Linked DNA regions of Elephas maximus indicus. The protein of the gene in region 2 purifies or fractionates together with the protein of the main gene of each other region. This does not show direct contact. Links are inferred from orthologs where the notes say so. Each region holds a gene or a part of one and is shown on either strand. Other genes may lie near its edges.

Region 1 (9,572 bases), on a different chromosome or scaffold from region 2:
ACAGAGGGTCTGGGGACCATGACCTCTAGGGTCCTTCTAGTTTCAGTCAGACCATTAAGTCTGATCATTTTTTATGAGAATTTGGGGTCTGCATACCACTGCTCTCATCCCTCGGGAGTTCTCTGTTGTGTTCTGTCAGGGCAGTCATTGGTTGTAGCCATTGCCCATCTCTTATTTGTTCATCTCCTCCCTTAAATATTGGTGATTTCCAGGGCCCTTTCCTCACCCTTTTCTAACTTCACACACCGTTCTCAGGAGAACGTTAACAAATCTGAGCCTTCAACTGCTTGCAGTTGGAGCACCCTAGAGCTCTGACCTTGGTCCATGGAAAACTCACCCCACAATTTCTCAGGGTGACTTCGTCCAAACTCATGGTTTTGATTACTGCCTGTAAACTGATGACACCTAAATTTATATCTGCGGCCCTGATGCAGCTTTAATAATAATATGTGGCGTAGTGGTTAAGTGCTACGGCTGCTAACCAAAAGGTCGGCAGTTTAAATCCACCAGGCGCTCCTTAGAAACTCTATGGGGCAGTTCTACTCTGTCCTGTAGGGTCGCTATGAGTCGGAATCAACACGATGGCAACGGGTACAGTATGTACATACCATACATATTCAGAAGCCTGTGGATATTACCTGGATGTCGCAGAGACACCTCAAACTCCAAATATCAGAAAGGTATCATGGTCTCCCCTCCTCCATCCCATCTAAACTTTGGCCTTTTATGTTTCCTAATTTTTTTTTTTTAATGTAGAGAATGGAGCCCTGGTGGCACAGTGGTTAAAAAGAGCTCAGCTCTAACCGAAAGGTCAGCAGTTCAAATCCACCAGCCTGGAAACTCCATGGGACAGTTATACTCTGTCCTAGAGAGTCCCTAGGAGTCAGAATCGACTTGATGGCAGTGGAGTTTTTGGTATGGTAGTGAATGGCACTATTCCCTCTCCACTTCTCCTTGTGATTGTTGTTAGCTGCAGTGGAGTCAACCCCCAACTCGTGGTAGGACAGGTCCCCAGGCTTTGGAAAATTCCACTACCTCAAGCAGCTTGCTTGACACACTGTAGCTTTTCCCCTTTCCTTAACTGCTGCCCAAAACTAGAGGAAATTGGCAGAAACAGGTTTAGACACCATGTTGACATTCAGGATAATCTTTTAGCTCATTAAGTACCTCATACATAGTAACTTCCTCGCCTCTGGATGGTGTTTAACTGCCATTTTCTGAACAAGCGATGCATGAAGTTATATGTAAACCCCATTGTGCCTGTGTAGTATGATTAAGAGTGTTGCTGATGTAACATGTATGAACTTCCTGCTTGTAAACCCCAAAAAAGTAATCCTCCCTCTCACCCTCACTAAGCGGCCTTGGCAGCAGCAGCCCCAACTGTCCCTTTCCTTGCGCAATGAAATAAAAGCATTGTCTTAGTCACCTAGTGCTGCTATAACAGAAATACCACAAGTGGATGGTTTTAACAAAGAGAAATGTCCTCACAGTAAAGTAGGCTAAAAGTCCAAATTCAGGGTGTCAGCTCCAGGGGACGGCTTTCTCTCCCTTTGGGCTCCTGAGGAACATTCCTTGTCCTCAAACTTCCCCTGGTCGAGGAGCTTCTCAGGCACAGGAACCCTGGGTCCAAAGGACGTGCTCTGTTCCCTGGTGCTTCATTCTTGGTAGTATGAGGTCCCCAACTCTCTGCTTGCTTCCCTTTCTTTTTACCGCTTGAGAGAGAAAAGGTGGTGCAGGCCACACCCCAGGGAAACTCCCTTTACCTTGGATCAGGGAGGTGACCTGAGTAAAGGTGGTGTTACAATCCCACCCTAATCCTCTTAACATACAATTACAATCACAAAATGGAGGACAACCACACAATACTGGAAATCATGGCCTAACCAAGTTAACACATATTTTTTGGGGAATACAATTCAATCCATCACAAACACCTTTCTGATCTTCCACTTTGGTCTCTTGTTTATTGGCTGAGACGGGTCGCACCAAATAAAACCTGGGCTTTCCACCCAGCAACAATGGGGACCCTGTGAACAATGATATTAGGTCATTGCGATTTATAGGGTTTTCATTGGCTGATTTTCAGAAATATATTATCTGGCCTTTCTTCCTAGTCTGTCTTAGTCTGAAATCTCCACTGAAACTTGTTCAGCATCATAGCAACAGGCAAGCCTCCACTGTCAGATGCTTGAGGTGTATTGGCCAGGAATTGAACCCGGGCCTACCACATGGAAGGTGAGAATTTTGCCACTGAACCACCACTGCCTTCCTACTTCTTAATATTTTGTAAATATCTTTTCCATTCCCACTGCCACTAAGAGTTCAAGCTCCTCATTTCTTCCCTGGATTATTGAAAGTCTTCCTGCTGGTCCCCCGTCTCAACCCGTCTCCTCTATTATCAAATCTCTGTGCTATTGCTGGATCAATCTTTCTAAAACAGATTTGATCACATCACATCTCTGTTTAAAAGCCTTCCCTAGCTCCTGAAAGCTTTTCAAGACAGAGTTTGAATCTTTCAACTTAGCCCTGCCCACACTCTCTTCTTATTTCTTGCCTCTGTCAGTTAAAAACCCCTCAATCCAACCCTTTAGAACTACTACTTGCAGTTTCCCGAATATGTTGATCTGTTTCCTCTGTGTGACTCTCCTTTCTCCACATCCCTTCTTTGCCAGGTTAACTTCTGTTCATCTTTAAGATTTAACTCAAGAGTCATCTCCAGGAAATTCTCCAAAATGCCCCAGTCTGACTTGATTGCCCTTCATCTGTGCTGTCAAAGATAGTGCTTATTTCCCTGCACCTACTGTAACCCTTGGTTTGTGTGCAGGCATCACCTATCAGACTGAATGTTCCTGGAGGAACATTTTTTTGTCTTACCTCCCCAGTACCTAGCCCAGGTTCTTAGTAGTTATTTGAATGGATGAACAAAACACCATACAGTGAGGGCTGGCATGGCCGGGCCTGATGGTGAGAAATGTTGACTTTTAGGAATGGGAGCAATCCACATGGCCTATACCAATTCAGAAAAACTCAAGCTGGCCAGTGTGTGTGTGTGTGTTAATGCAACCAAGACAGTCTGGCTGAATTGTGAGTGTGTGGACTCCTGGGCTGTGTGATTGAGTGTGTGTGTGTTAGGTTTTTATGAGAAGTGCATGTCCGTATTGCATGTATATGTTTATAACCCACATCTGGGTCAGAAAGTATGGCTTTTAATCTTTGTATTGCCTCCACACCTTTCTTGGCCCCTGGAAATGTCTGTGAAGTGCCCACTATGTCCTTTTCTATGCCCTTTTCTAGACCCTGTAGCAAATTACAAAGGAAAAGAGACACTCTTCCTGGGCACATGTACTTGCAGTCCAAGTGAGGAAAGAGGTGCGCTCTTCATTGGGAGCAGCACATATACAAGGTGTGTGCACACACACATGATTTTACAAGTGGGAGGCAGGAAGCAGAGTGGTTAAGAACATGGGCTCTGGAGTCGGACCGCCTATGTGCAAATCCAGGCATTGCCACTCACTAGCTGTGTGACCTGGGGTAGTTACTCAACCTCTATGTGTCTTAGTTTCTTCAACAGAAATACAGGACAAATAATATTACCTGCCTGGTAGGCTTGAAGTGAAGATAAAATAATCTATATGAAGTGGTTACTTAGAACAGCATCTGCCACTGAGTAAGAGCTCAGTAAATGGTAATAATGAGGGTGATGATGATGATTTCTAATCTTCATGACAAACCTGCACGGAAACTGAGGCTCAGAAACATTAAGTAACTTTCTGAGGGCCAAATGGAATCTATGTCTGATCTGGTCCCGTCCTCCCACTTCACTATCTGCTTTTTTTTTTTTTTTTTTAGGTCACCATCTGCTCTTACTCCTTGCTCTAACACATTCATGTACAACCAGATACCAGGGAACACAGATGTCCACAGATGTAGATTTTTCAGGTAGGGGCTTACATCATAGTCACCAAGGGAGAAAAATCACAGTCACTGAGGGAGGAAGAAAGAGGGTGGATGAAGGCAGAAGTAGGCAAGAAATATCCTGGGATGATTAGCAATCTTGAAATCAGGAAGGTTGAGTCAAGTAGGCTTCAGAGAGGAAGTGAGTCTCAAAAAAAATGTGCCTCCGAGAGGGTAGGGCCTGGGTGTGGGGAAGAGAGGGCAGGAAGAGCATTTCAGGCAGGTACAATGATGACGTGATGGTGGGAGAGAGAACGCCAGACAGACTTACCGGCTGGCTGATCCAGGTGTCTCTGGAGATAAGAGCAGTGGAACTCAGGACAAGCCTCTTGCTTTAAGGCAAAAGGGGCTGTCAGGAGTTATTTTGGGCTTCCTGTATGGGATAAGTGGGAGCCATGCAGGTGTCTGAGGGCCATGATCTGAGGAAAGGAGTTTACTGCTCTCAATGTAGAGAAAGGAAAAAGCAATGACTGAGTATCGACTAAGCCCCAGATATCTTTTTTGATGGACCCACCAACTATGTGAAGTAGATATGATTACCCATATTTTATAATGAAGAGACAGTGCATACAGTGGGTTCACAGAGGTTAAGTAGCTTGCCTAAGGTCACACAGCTCAGAGGCAACAGGGCCAGAAATCAGATAAAAGCTTGGGTGTCTGTCTACTGCATAGGTGGGGGTGGCCAGTGCCAGAAGCTCAAATTTGAGCTTCTTGAGACCTAGAACCTTGGTGTCACCTCATGCTGACGGCCTCTTCCGCTGCCAAACCCTTTCTTTCTCTCCTTCCCCTCTCCAACACACACACACACACACACACACACACACACACACACAAACACACACACACAGTTTCGGTGCCTCTAGGATCCTGAGCCAATCACTGACCAGAGAAGGTTTGGAGGGAGGAAATGAGTCATCAGCTCTGGGTCAGGGCCCCATCAAAGCTTGATAGAAGTCATGGTCTGGAGGTAGAAGGAGCATATAGGATCAGGTACTGGAGCTAGTGCTGGGCTGGGTGCAGGGTGTGACAGTATGTACACTCATTCACTCAACTGATATTTATTTAGAGCCAGAATTGGGCCTGACCGTGTGCTGGCTGCCTGGGATATGGTGCTGAACCAGACAGACATGTTCCCTGCTCTTCCGGAGCTTATGGTTTAGGGCAGGGCTGTCCAAGAGAACTTCCTGTGATGACGAAAATGTTCTATATCTGTGCCGTCCAATGTGGTAGCCACTAGCCACATATAGCTATTTAGCACTTGAAATATGGCTAGTGAAGCTGAGGAAATGAATCTTTTATTTTATTTAAATTTGATTACTTTAAATTTAAATAGCTTGTGACTAATAGTTAGAAAGGACAGGACAGGTCTAGTGGTTAAGACAGACATGTCAACATGTAAGCCTGAGTAGGCTAGGGGCCCACAGGTATTCAGGGGACTCAGGCTGAGTTAAGAGGGATTTGTTCTAGAACTGGTGATAGGTAATAGTTTACAATTTTTTCTTAAACTCCCAATCCTTTTTTTCTTCCTGTGAAGGTTGACAATGAAGCATAGCATATATGCTAAAAGTACATAAATCATAAGCATACAGCCCTGATCCTCCTATTTTAAAATTGCTAGTCACAGGGGTGGGGAAGGAGGTTAGTGATATACTAGAAATACAGGGAGTAGAGGTGACTGGGGGAGGAAAAACCAGTTACCCTTGAGTTAATTCCAATTCATGGAGACTCCATGTGTGTCAGAGTAGAACTGTGCTACGTAGGGTTTTCTCAAGGTTTCAAGGCTGTGACCGTCTGGAAGCAGATTGTCAGGTCTTTCTTCTGAGACAAGTCCAGTTGGATTGGAACAGTCAACCATTCAGTTAGTAGCTGAGCGCTTAAGTGTTTGCACTACCCAGGGATTCCAGCAATGTGGGGAAAGGGGCTGAAAAACCACATCCTCTGGAATATTTAGGCAGAGCCTGGAATCCAGAGCCATGTCCCCATGGCCTTGCCTGGAGGTGGGAGTGGAAGCACTATTTCTGAGGAGCTATAGGCAGGACTTGGCAGCAGGTAGGACCAAGATTCAAGGACAAAAGTGACTTTGAGATTGACTCTCAAATTGTAAAGCCAAGGGATTTGAGAATTTGTGGTGTCACAGAGGTCTTGAAACATGAGTGGAGGGAGTGAGCTTTATGTGAGATGAGAAAGAGGCACTTCTAACATGTTCGATTTTATGCGGAGATGTCCTGAAGGTAGCGAGGAATACTTGCCTGGATTGGGATTGGGAGGTGAAGGCAGCAGAGGTCAGTGTGGACATTAGGTGTGGGCAAGGAGTAATCACAGCCTGGTTGGGCAACGGGCACTCCAGGGGGGTGTGTGCCAGGGGAGGGGGGACGATGAGGGTGCCAACAAACAAGCTTTGGCAGAGTCATGTTGAGGGCAGGGCTGAGGGTGTGAGGTGAAGAAGCCTCAGCAGAGAAGCAAAGGAAGAAATAGACTACAAAAAGAAAAAAGATTCTGTGACCTTGAAGCTAATATTGATGAGAAATCACTATGATTAAATGCTTTACCGACATAATGACAAGAAACCGAGACTCTGTCCAGGGTCACATGGCTTGTAAGTGATACAGCCTGGCTCACACCAGTTCCAGAAGACACTCTTAATAACTTTCCCTCCAACCTCACCTTGCCTGCTGTGCTCTGCTGCACCCGGCAAAGGCAGAAGGTATGAGGATGACAGGGACTGTGTGAAGAGTGTGGAGGGGACTTGAGACTTCCAGGAAGCTGGAGGTAGGTATGTTGGGGGGAGCCAGCAAGGGGAATTCAGGCCCAATGATCTGGATCTTCTTGGAGCTGTAAATCATCAGATTATCAAGTGATTAACCAAAACCCAAACCCAATACCATCAAGTCAGTTCCGACTCATAGAGACCCTAAAAGACAGGACAGAACTACCCCACAGGGTTTCAGCAGTGCCTGGTGGATTCAGACTCCTGAAATTTCAGTTAGCAGCCGTAGCTCTTAACCACTATGCCACCAGGGTTTCCAATCAAGTGATTGGATTTTAGAAATTCGAATGGGGACTAAGATACAATTATTGGTCTCTGCGAGTCTGAAGCAAAAGAGAAAGAAGGAAACCAAAGTCTCAAAGAAGAAACTAGCCTATAGGACCAATAGTCTACACAAACTATGCCCTTACCTACCTTGAGGCCAGAAGAACTAGATGGTGCCCAGCTACCACTACCTACCGTTCTGACCAGGGACACAATAGATAGTCCTGGAGAAAATGGGGGGGGCGGGGACAAAACTCAAGTTCCTGAAAAAGACCAGACTTACTGCACCAGTGAAGACTAGAGGGAGTAGAAACTATCGGCCTGGAATACCCCTTAAACCTGGGACTCAAACCACTCCCAGAAGTCACCTATCAGCCAAAAGACATAATGGCCCCCAAAATAAACGGCATCACCCATGAGTACTGTGTTTCTCTAAACAATCATATAAATGAGACCTAACAGTCAACATTTACCCTAAACCAAATATGAGAAGGTAAGAGAGGACAAGGAAGCTGGATGAATGGAAACAGAACAACAGAATGGAAATAATGAGAATGCTGACACGTTGTGAAAAGTGTAACCAATGTATAATATGTATAGAAATTGTTAAATGAGAACCTAATGTAAATTTTCTCCAAAATCACAATAAAATATTTAAAGAAAGAAAATTGGATCGGGAGCACTCTAGGGGCTTGAGGGGAAGAGAAATGTCGAGAAGAGGGAAGGTCAGCATGAGTTACGGGAAAGGAAATGAAAGGAAATGACAGGGTGCCTACGGTACGGTGATAAGTGAGAGCTGAAGCTCACCTCTGCATGGGCGCAAGTGCCCAGTTGTCATCTCTTGTTGCAACACAGGCTCTCCTCTGCCCCCAGTTTCCTGATTCTTTCTCTCTTACCTGACCACCACAAAACATGACGTCAGAGCTGGAGAGGGCTTGCTGGATCATCTCGCTCACGCTCATTTTCCAGCAGCCCAGAGGTATTCAGTAACATGAAGTCACATAACAGAGGTGGCTGGAGCCCGGGTTCCTGAATGATATCATACCTCTTAGATGTTTAGGAACAAAATGTTGAAATGTGAGTGGGATGATAGGATGTAGATATAATTTATCCCTGAATTAATGCTGAGTATCTTTGCCAGCCTGGAGGGAGGTCGCTTCTGGTGGTATTTTTTCAGTGACATGTTGGATAAGGACATAGATGCCATTCTCAAAATTGGAGATAACTGAGAGGCGGGGCAAAGATGGTGGAATAGCCAGATGCTTCTAGCGATCCCTCTTACAACAAAGACCCAAAAAAACAAGTGAAATGATTATATTTATGACAAGCTAGGAGCCCTGGACATCAAAGGCAAAGTTAGAAAATGGACTGAGTGGCAGGGGGAGGGAGAGACAGTTCAGAGGTAGAGCAGAGTTGCTGCACCTGAATTGCCGGGAACCCTCAGGCACCATTCCCGGGGGCGGCTGCAGTGGGCTGGTGGTAGCATTCAGCCACAGTTTCCTCAGGAAGAAGCGCAGTCGCACAGCCTACTCACACCTCTGGAACCAGAGAAGAATGGCGCTCTCAGCAAAAGCTAAGTACTTGCATATACTTTACTGTGCCCCCTGCCCCCAAGCTGGCTTCAGTGGCTGTTGATTTCCCTGGGCCTGAAATGGGTCCTACTGAGCACCCAGAGCCATCTTTCCGGCCTTGGAGTAGGAATAAATTCACAATTGGGGGAAAAGATAATTTGCCAGCTCCACTAACCGGGGTATCTCAGGGCAGAAGCGGCTCCCGTCCAAGCATAAATGGTTCATGGACTTTGAATAACTTTCCCCCCTGCATGGACCTATGCAGGCCTGTTTCAGGAGAATAGGCCCTTGTTGGCAGACTGCAACTGTTTCAGCTGTTTGGTGGAGAGGTGGGTGTTTGATATTTGATAACACTTTGCCTATTAAACAGGGTCCTCACCCACATCAGGAGCATAAGGACTGGTGGCTCCACTCAGGTCACCCAGCCACCTGTGACAGGGGTCCAAGGATAACTGGTACCTCTTAGCCCTTACAACCAAAAGCATTGGATGCCCATGGTCTATCTGCAGAGCCCGCCCACCTGTACACTATAGGGAACAGGGATGTGCTTTCCTCACAGACACATGGGGGATGGTTCTCAGCCCCCTCCCTTGTTCAGAGCGTGACCCCCCCCCGCTGCAACCAGACACTGGTACCTACATGAATCACTCCTGCCCCCTTAAGACTGTAGGATAAAGCCTGTACCACACACTTGTTGACCAGGTACCTGGACACTTGAGCTGAATTCATACAAGAAAAGTGAACGGACTCCTAGACTGATATACCTGATAACACCTCTAGCCATATGGTGACAGGATGTCAGCGCTTCAAAGGCAAAAACAAGCTAGCTCACTCTAGCAGCCCATTTGGGCATATCAAAACAAAACAAAGCAAGAAGCTAGGACACAGTAAGCAAAGATAACATAAACTAATTCAATAACTTACAGATGGCTTGGAGACAACAGTAAATACCAAGTAATGTAAAGAAAGAGACCATGATTACCTCAACAAGCTCTCAAAACAAAGAATCAAGGGAT
Region 2 (9,332 bases):
GAGCTACATAACTATCTTTGCTTTTCTAGGTACTGAGAGTAGAAAAGACATACTTTTCCATCAATAAATGCCTGAAGAATTGCAAAGATTTTTTCAGAACAGCAAAATACACATGCTTTCTTTAGCTCCTTCACCATTTCCTACACTGACAAGGAAGAATTTCAACTATGCCCCCAAATAAGACAAACAGTAAATCTGTTCAAAACCTGCAGGCAAAACAAATGATCAATAATGCAAGCTCGGGAGTAAAAAAGATAAAGAAGAAAACCTATAAACCACCAGATGAGAAACCTGATAGGATTACTGGTAATAGACACACAAACGTCTTTCCTATCAAGTAGCCAATGAGAAGAGGAAGAAGATAAAATTGACACCCCTTTCATGGAAATCATGAGCCTTCTCTGGGAAGTAAATCAGGCAATAACCAAAAACAAACAAACAAACCCATTGCTGTCGAGATGATTCTGACTCAGCGACCCTACAGGAGAGCAGAGCTGCCTCATAGGGTTTCCAAGTAGGCGGCTGGTAGATTTGAACTGCCGAACTTTTGGTTAGCAGCTGAGCTCTTAACCACTGCACCACCAGGGCTCCTTCTAGACCGTAGGGGCATGGATATTTGGAAATACAGGCAGAGGAAATACATCTTGTCTGAACCACATACAAGCATCCTGAAAGGGGATTAAATAAGATGAATACAGGAGAAATCACTTGGCATAGGGTCTGACACAAATGAGTATTTAGTAAATATCAGTTTCCATGATCCCTCCTACAGCATTTATATCTACCAAGGTTTATAGAAGTGAGGTTACTCCACCACCATCACAATAAACACTATAGTCAATGAGCTGCTGGCCAAGGTTAACTACCTTAATGTTTCAATTCTCCACCAACATCAAGGAATGGAGCTATATGACCTATGTGACCCTTCCTGATAAATGAAGCTTATCATTTTCAAAAAAAAAAAAAAAGTTTTTTTAAGCATCCATTTTGATAGAAATTTTTTCAAATATATTCAACACTGACTTCTTAAAAAGACTATACAGAACAGAATCCAGCCTTTTCCACAACTAGATGGTGCCTGGCTACCACCACCAACTGCCCTGACAGTGATCACAACAGAGGGTCCTGGACAGGGCAAGAGATAAATGTAGAATGAAATTCTAACTCACACAAAAAAGACCAGACTTACTGGTCTGACTGAGAGGAGAAACCCCGAGAGTATGGCCCCCAGACCCCCTTATAACTCAGTACTAAAGTTACTCCTGAGGTTCACGCTTCAGTCAAAGATTAGACAGGCCCATAAAACAAAATGAGACTAAATGGGCACACCAACCTAGGGCAAAGGACTAGAAGACAGGAGGGGACAGGAAAGCTGGTAAAGGGGAACCCAAGGTCCAGAAGGGAGAGTGCTGACATGTCGTGTGGTTGGCAATCAATGTCACAAAACAATGAGTATTAATTGTTTAATGAGAAATTAATTTACTCTGAAAACTTTCATCTGAAGCACAATTTTAATAAAATCAGCCTTTTCTTGATGACACAGGGTCATAATTATGCACACACAATGGTAAATTTTCGAGCTGGTAGAACCCTACCTTAGAAATCCCCTAATTCAAATCTCCCACTTTATGTATGAGCTGAAATCCCAAGAGGTTATGCAATTTTCCCAAGGTTACACAGGGGGAAGGTCAAGCAATTACCATTAAACCATGTTGCCACATCTATTATTATACTATACTGAGCACCATCTAGCAAGGCAGTCAAGATTTAGGGCCGTAACCCTTGTAAGCTTCCCCATGTTTGTTATTTTTTATCCCATCTCTTTACCCATATCTTTAGTATTGTTGTTGTTGCTGTATGCCATTGAGTCGATTCTAGCTCATAGCAACCTTATAATCCTTAGTAGTAAAACTCTTAAATCAACTAGGATCTATGTGTTCACCCTCTGCAAGAAAAAAATTAAGCTAGCTTACTCCACAGCCCATTTTAGGGGAAGAACTCCAGAAGATAAAGTGACTGATGTGTTTTAAAAAGGAAAACGATGCAGACTAGATCTCTAAATGGCCTGCAGAAAGCAAGAAGGACGTGATGAAAAGCTCACATAGGCTTAAGAACAGCTTTGGGGGTGTGACTGTCAGAAGTCCAAACAATTCCTGAGTATTGACAATACAGTAACCTTCACAAGGGCAGGGACTAGGTTCTCAATAAACATGGTTTGAATATCCTGAGAAATGAGTGGTTGTCACTAGCCTAAATAATCCCAGGCTGTTATGGATTGAATAGTGTCCCCAAAAAATATATGTTGTGCATCATTACCTCTATGCCTATGGTTAGTCTTGCAAAATTCTAACCAGACTAACCGCAGGCATAGAGGTTATGATGTACAACACATATTTTTGGGGGGGTGGGGGGGACAATTCAATCCATAACAGCCTGGGATTATTTAGTGTAGTGAATTTTGCAAGATGAATGACTTCTTCATTGAAAATACATTTTTCAGCAACAGAAAGGCCAGCTATACACACGGACCTTGCCAGATGGAATACACAGGAATCAAATCAACTACATCTGTGGAAAGAGACTATGGAGAAGCTCAATATCATCAGTCAGAACAAGGCCAGGGGTGGACTGCAGAACAGGCCATCAACTGCTCATATGCGAGTTCAAGTTGAAGCTGAAGAAAATTAGAGCAAGTCTATGAGAGCCAAAATACAACCTTGAGTATATCCCACCTGAATTTAGAGATCATCTCAAGATTAGATTTGATACATTGGATGCTAATGGCCGAAGACCAGACTACTTGTGGGAGGACATTATACATGAAGAAAGCAAAAGGTCACTAAAAAGACAGGAAAGAAAGAAAAGACCAAAATGGATGGATTCCTAGACAACCAAAAAGAAAGGCAAGTGTGGTAATAACAGCTATTCTAAAACGGATTTTTTTTCTCAGTTTTAGAAGAGAATGGAGGGAATAAATGAATATTCAATTGGCTCCTTCCAGCTTTCATCCAACGTCTGCTCACAGCTGGGTTATCTGCACCTGCAGTTGTTTTCAAGTTGGGAATAACATGTCCCTGTTGTTCTGAGAACAATTACCTAGGTACAACGAGTATAAAAGGCTTTCTGGTTAGACAACACATTAAAAGCTACTAGTTTACCCTCCCTACACTCACAAATATGAAAAATCAGGCTCAGAGAGATTAAAGTGCTTGAACCTCCCTCAAAGTCACACAGCAAGGTAAAAGCCAAGCAAATTCTAGAACCAAGTTTTTCCAATGACCTCTACTAATCTGGGTTAACTCTGAGGATCAGAACCACTGATTCTCCTTCTGCTATGACATGGGCCTTTGGAAATTTACCAGCTGCGTGATCATGAGCAAATTATAGCCTTTCTAATCCTCCTTTTCCTCTTCTGTAAAATGTAGAGAATAATACCTACTCTAACAGGGTTGCTGTCAGAATTACATAAGGTTTGTCAAGTGCTTAGCTGGCACATCGACTAGCAAATAATAATCATTCACACAAAAAAAAGTAGCTATAATTTTTACTCCCACCCTAAAAACATGGCTGCTCCTACAGTTTGAAAAGACAACGAACGGAATTCATCAACACAATGGGCCCAATACCCCAGAGCCTACTACATTCCGCAGACGGGAGTAAACCCCACCCAACAACCTCTTTCACCCCATCTAAAACCCACCCTCTAACCAGTTAAGAAAAACAAAATGTCAATTGATTCCACACGTCCGCTGCCACACGTTGTATGTTGAATTTGCCAACTAGAAATTGCAGGGGGGTTTCTGGCTCCACCCAAAACATGGAGAACAAATGAATGATTAGCAAGGGGACAATAAGGTCACAGACCTGAACTGGAACTCACAAAAGCTTGTTCTCAGCATATCTGGTTGTGCGTGGATAGGTGGATGATAGAAAGCAGAATGGTTTTTTTCAGTACCGTAAAGCAGGAATAATGGCTGCCTCAACAAAATACAATTTCCTAGGCTGCTCAACACAATAGAGAAAAAAAAATCCGTTTCCCTGCCCTAATAAATTAATACGTACATGGGCAACAACTGAGCATCTTTCTTGCAAAACTGAGGATTAAGCTGTAACCGAGCAATTTTTAACTGCACGACACCCTATAATCATATAAAGATACGAAAAAAGTCCTATGAAACGACGAAACAAAAGGAATGAGGAATATCACGTTGAACTCAACAAGGAGTGAATCGTAATGTCATGTCAAAGGCGTATGCATGGATAAAATCCCGACCCTCCGTCCTCATGACACTGCAAACCCACCTCCCTTTAAGGAAATTACAGGAATCAGCCGCAGCAACCAACCTCAACAATCGGCATCGACCAGATATACCCCTACTCAGATGTCGCTAAGCACCGCGGGTCCAAGCCCCTCCCTGGAGCTTGCCAAGTCCCGCGCTGACTCCAGAATACCTCACTTCCTTCCCGTCCGCCCTCCCAAACTCGACCCCCGGCGTTTCTCGCTAACTCTCGTCACTGACAAAGAAGGCAGGAATGAGACAGGCATCCCACATTTAGTCCGTGGAGTACTAGGGCCACACATACCCGTCCCTATTACGATCACATCAAATTCCGAAGGGAGATTATTCGCCATCTTTACAGGAAACGTGTCATGTGACTACTGCTTGTGGAAATGAAATCAAGTTAAGCGTTCCCACGGTGGAAGGCGGAAGGGAAAACTCTGCATTCTGGGTATTGTAGTTCTTGAGTGAAGGCCCAGGTAGACGGCTGCAGCGTTATATTTGCGATTTTTACGCAAATGTTGCAAGCTCGATTTACTTTCCAGGCTTTATGAAGCAGTGCATTTAGGCTGGAGGCTTGGGGTAGGAAAGAGATGCAGATTTGTATTCCGATGGCTAGGATGAATGTGAGAAGACCTGGGTACTCCTTAACTAAGATAAAGAAAGAAGTGTTCGGAGACCCAAAAGGCAGAATGAAGTTGCGAGGGAATTGTTCTGTGAACAAGAGAGGTTATCATTCCAGCCTGGAAAACCGTTTCCCCAGTGTGTCTGTGCTTTCGTTTTGGCCCTCGTGGCATAATTTTTCACACCGATGTTGTTAGCTGGGCTGAGTCTCCTACTGCCAATCTTTTTGGTCTCTTATGTCTCCCCATTGAAACCTATTTAAAAAAAAATCGTTGTGAAGTCTATTGCCACGCATTGTGACACTATAGGACAGAGTAGAACTGTCCCATAGTGTTTCCAAGGCTGCAGTCTTTACCGAAGCACATTGCCATATCTTTCTCCCGCGCCCAGCTAGTGTGTCCGACAGCTGCTAATCTTTCCGTTAGCAGCCCAGCGAAGCGCTTAACCACTGCAGCACCAAGGGCTCGTTCCCCAATAAGCCTCCCCACCACACCCCCCCCCATAAACCCTTCGCCTTAGTTTCACCAGGAGCCCTGGTGGCACAGTGGTTAAAGGACTTAGCTGCAAACCGGAAAGTCTGAGGTTCCATCCGCTAGCTGCTCTGCAGGAGAAAGATGTGGCAGTCTGTTTCCACAAAGACTGCAGCCTTGGAAACTCTATTGGGCAGTTCCACTCTGTCCTGTAGGGTCGCTGTGAATCAAAATCCACTCCACGGTAAAAGGTTTTGGTTTAGTTTCACCAGAATGAAAACCTCACCGCGTGGTATTTATTCTAGTTAGGCCGAACAGCCACCCTGGCGATATATATTTGCAAAATTAGCCTAGCTTTACATGAAGGTAAAATTATACGAAAGCATAGTAGATGTTTGATAAGCGTTTGTTGAATTCGAATCTGAGTTTCTATATGTGTAAGATGAGTCCTTATATGATTCTCCTAATAAGCTACTACAGAAATGGTCACGGTGAAATGGCCTTTACATTAAAGTCATCGTATTCGATTAGGGTTATGAGTTGGAATCGACTCGACGGCAATGGGTTTGAGTTTTTTGTTTGTTTATGAGTGGTCTAGGAGCACTGGTGGTACAGTGGTTAAGCACTGGACTGCTACCACCAGCCGCTCTGCAGAAGAAAGGTGTGGCATTCAGCTTCCCTAAAGATTAAAAAATCCTATGGAGCAGTTCTACTCTTTTCCTATAAGGTCACTATGTGTTGGACTCAACTCGATGGCAGTGGGGTTTTTTGTTTTGTTTTGTTTTGTAGGTGGTCTATGACAAGCAGCTAACATAGCTTTCATAAGTATTTTCAAGCCCTCTCCACCCCATTTTTTAAAATGCTTTGCTGTCTGTCTGACGATACCAAAGCAAAAAAGTGAGGCTTGTGCAGGGGAGTGAGAGAATATTTTTGACCCCAGAAATTACTTAACTATTTTACTGAATAATTCAAAGAGAGGGTGCAGTGGTGAACCTGTCCTTCTCTTACACCACCTGTCCTCTTAGTTGCTTGTAGTTTGCCAGACACACTGTCATCTTTTCCATCTTCCTGAACCACCCCACACTGTCCTTTCAAAATGGAATGATCTTCCCATTCTTTAGCTAATACTTATCCTCAAGAATCAGCTCAGCTTCCACTTCCTCTTCCTTTCATTCCCTACCCATGTTGAGCTAAGGTTCTCCAATGGTGCTACCACTGTGTCATAACCTGCCATATTCACTGAAATTATTTACATTTATGTCAGTCCCTACGTAGTACACATATCCCCATGCACACACGCAAAATACACACCCAGATATACAGCAAGCTAAATTATAAGCTCCTGTATGACAGGGAGGTTCCTGGGTGGCTCAAGCAGTTTGCTATCAGCTGCTAAGCTAAAGGATGGAAGTTAGAACCCACCCAGCAGCACTGTGGAAGAAAGGCCTGGCAATCTGCTTCCATAAAGATTAAAAACCAAACCCATGCCATCCAGCCGATTCTAACTTATGGAGACACTATTAAAAAAAAAAAAACACCATTGCCATCGAGTCGATTTCGACTCACAGCGACCCTATAGGATAGAGTAGAACTGCCCCATAGTGTTTCCAAGGCTGTAATCTTTACGGAAGCAGATTGCCACATCTTTCTCCTGTAGAGCAGCTAGTGGGTTTGAACCAACGACCTTTGGGTTGGCAACCAAATGCTTTAACTGCTGCACCACCAGGGCTCCTTTCCATAAAGATTACAGCCAAGAAAACCCTGTGGAGCAGTTCTACTCTATAACGCACGGGGCCACCATGAGTCGGAATCAACTTGAAGGCGATGGCTTTGGGTTTTTTTTGTTTGTTTGTTTGTTTTTCCGGTATGACAGGGACTGTGTCTTATTTATCTTGTTACCCCTTGCATCCAACCTAAGCCTGGTGTATAGGAGGAATTCAATAAATATTTGCTGAACTGAACTTAGTTCTGACTCCCCTAATAGATGGTAAGCCTTATGAGAACAGGGACTAAGCCTTCTTCACTTTTGTATCTGCCTATCACTATCATGTGTGTCCTGCATGTCGTAGACCCTAAATACATGTTTGTTAATCTTGCTAGAACATGAAAAATCTTTAAAAATGTATTTTGCTGATTTTTTGGCTGTATTTATGTTGCATTTTACCCTGGTCATTGGCAATATGTAGTACATGTTCCATTAACTTATTTTCTTGTTCATCTTGTTGTATCGAACAATTCTTTTATGATATGGTCCTCTGATGAATATATCATGTAAAAGAGATTCCTCTGAGAAGTGAAATGTAAAATATTGTTCAGTAAATCACTCTGCTATTCATCTTGGTATGAAAAGAAAGTTTTGAGTATTCTCAGAAGTGAAATAGATCTTATCTCTGAGACTCTTACTATCAACAGTGGAAATGGAAATTAATATATTTCCCAGAGTAAACACAGGAAACTTTCTGCAATCTTCTCTAACAGTGAGAATCCATAGCATGAATGGTTAAAAATAGTAATAATGATAAATAAAAATATTTCTGTCTTACTTTGGAGATATAAGTGCATACATGTATACATATGTGTATGTATTTCTAACTTTCTAGGAAGTCAGTAGTTTTCTAACAAACACAATTACATTGTGAAGACATAACTCATTAATTCATTTATTCCTCAACTATTCATTGAGCACCTACTACATGCAAGGCACTCTTTTAGATGCTGGGGTTATAGCAATGAACAAAGCAAACAAAAATCTCCCGTCTTCATGAAGCTTACATTTAGTAAGGTAAAACAAAATAAACCTATAATTACTTTAGTGTTAATTTTCCAATCTACCCAGCCCCAATTTGAAACCCCCCTTTTTTCCCTGGGAATAAACAGTATGTCCCTCAGAGAGAGAAAATTACCAGCTTCTATTTAGCCTTCCTTCTAAAGTTATTATATGACTCACACCTTCCCTGGACATTGAAAAGATCATCACTTAAAAAAAATTTAAAGCCCCTGCATGGAGAAAATGTTCAAAATACCTTTTTCTTTCAAATGCATGTGTTGTTGTAGATATTATGTGAAGTATAGATAGACACAGGAGGTGATAATGTCAGTAAAAGAGCAGAAAGCAAAGCAGCTGAATTGCTGTCTATTCTATTATTCTAAGAAAATCTTTTGAGAGCTTAAATGTTTTATTTGGATAAGTTGCAGTACAATGAAATGATGGCTACCTAATAATTGACTATCCTGTGAAATCACTGTGCCACTAATTATGTATTTAATTGTTTCCTGAGTTGAAAAGCCATGATTCCTGGAACATCTACACTGTATTCAAGAAGTTTGCTGAACTGTAGGATCTGACGTATTATCTTTTTAAAAACCAGTAATTTAATGGTCTGTAGGCCTTTTTTTTTCTTTCTATGCCTGGCCTGTCCTTTGAGTTCCAGATACACATATCCAAGCCCTTACTGAACATCTCTGCTGAACGCGTCCAATACTGAACTCCTTAACATTCCAATCCTTAACATTCCAATCCTTAACATTCCAAACCTTAACATTCCAAACCTTCTCTTTGCCCATGTTCCATATCTTAGAAATGGGATGACCTTCTACCCAGTTACTCAAGTCAAAAGCCTAACAGTCATCCTTGATACATCACTCTCTTTCACCCTTAAACCAATTCATCAACAATTCTTGCCAGATTTATCTCAAAAAAATATACTATATGCTACAATATTGATGAAGCTTGAAGACTTTAAACTGAGTGAAATAAATCAATCACAAAAGGACAAATATTGTATGACCTTACTTACACAAAAAGATAAGAAAAGGCAAATGTATAGAGGCCAAAGTTTATTAGTGGTTACCAGGGGCAGAAGGGAGTGGAATAGGGAGGGTTATGCTTATAGAGTACTGAGTTTCAGTTTATGGGGATGGAAACATTGCATTGATTATCAGGACACAGTTATTTTCT

Evidence for each region.
Region 1: the proteins of CHM (region 2) and RABGGTA purify together in Homo sapiens (co-immunoprecipitation; 4 studies listed by BioGRID and IntAct, counting the BioPlex papers as one, with this or other methods). This does not show direct contact. The link is inferred for Elephas maximus indicus from reciprocal best matches to the Homo sapiens genes CHM and RABGGTA.

The regions. Positions count from the first base shown.
Region 1 is NC_064828.1:35,621,228-35,630,799, forward strand, and holds the start of RABGGTA (geranylgeranyl transferase type-2 subunit alpha), read right to left. Parts: upstream 4,322-9,572; 5' UTR 4,226-4,321; intron 1-4,225. UniProt on the Homo sapiens protein: Catalyzes the transfer of a geranylgeranyl moiety from geranylgeranyl diphosphate to both cysteines of Rab proteins with the C-terminal sequence -XXCC, -XCXC and -CCXX, such as RAB1A, RAB3A, RAB5A and RAB7A.
Region 2 is NC_064846.1:78,961,736-78,971,067, reverse strand, and holds the start of CHM (rab proteins geranylgeranyltransferase component A 1), read right to left. Parts: upstream 4,655-9,332; 5' UTR 4,634-4,654; coding exon 4,585-4,633; intron 1-4,584. UniProt on the Homo sapiens protein: Substrate-binding subunit of the Rab geranylgeranyltransferase (GGTase) complex.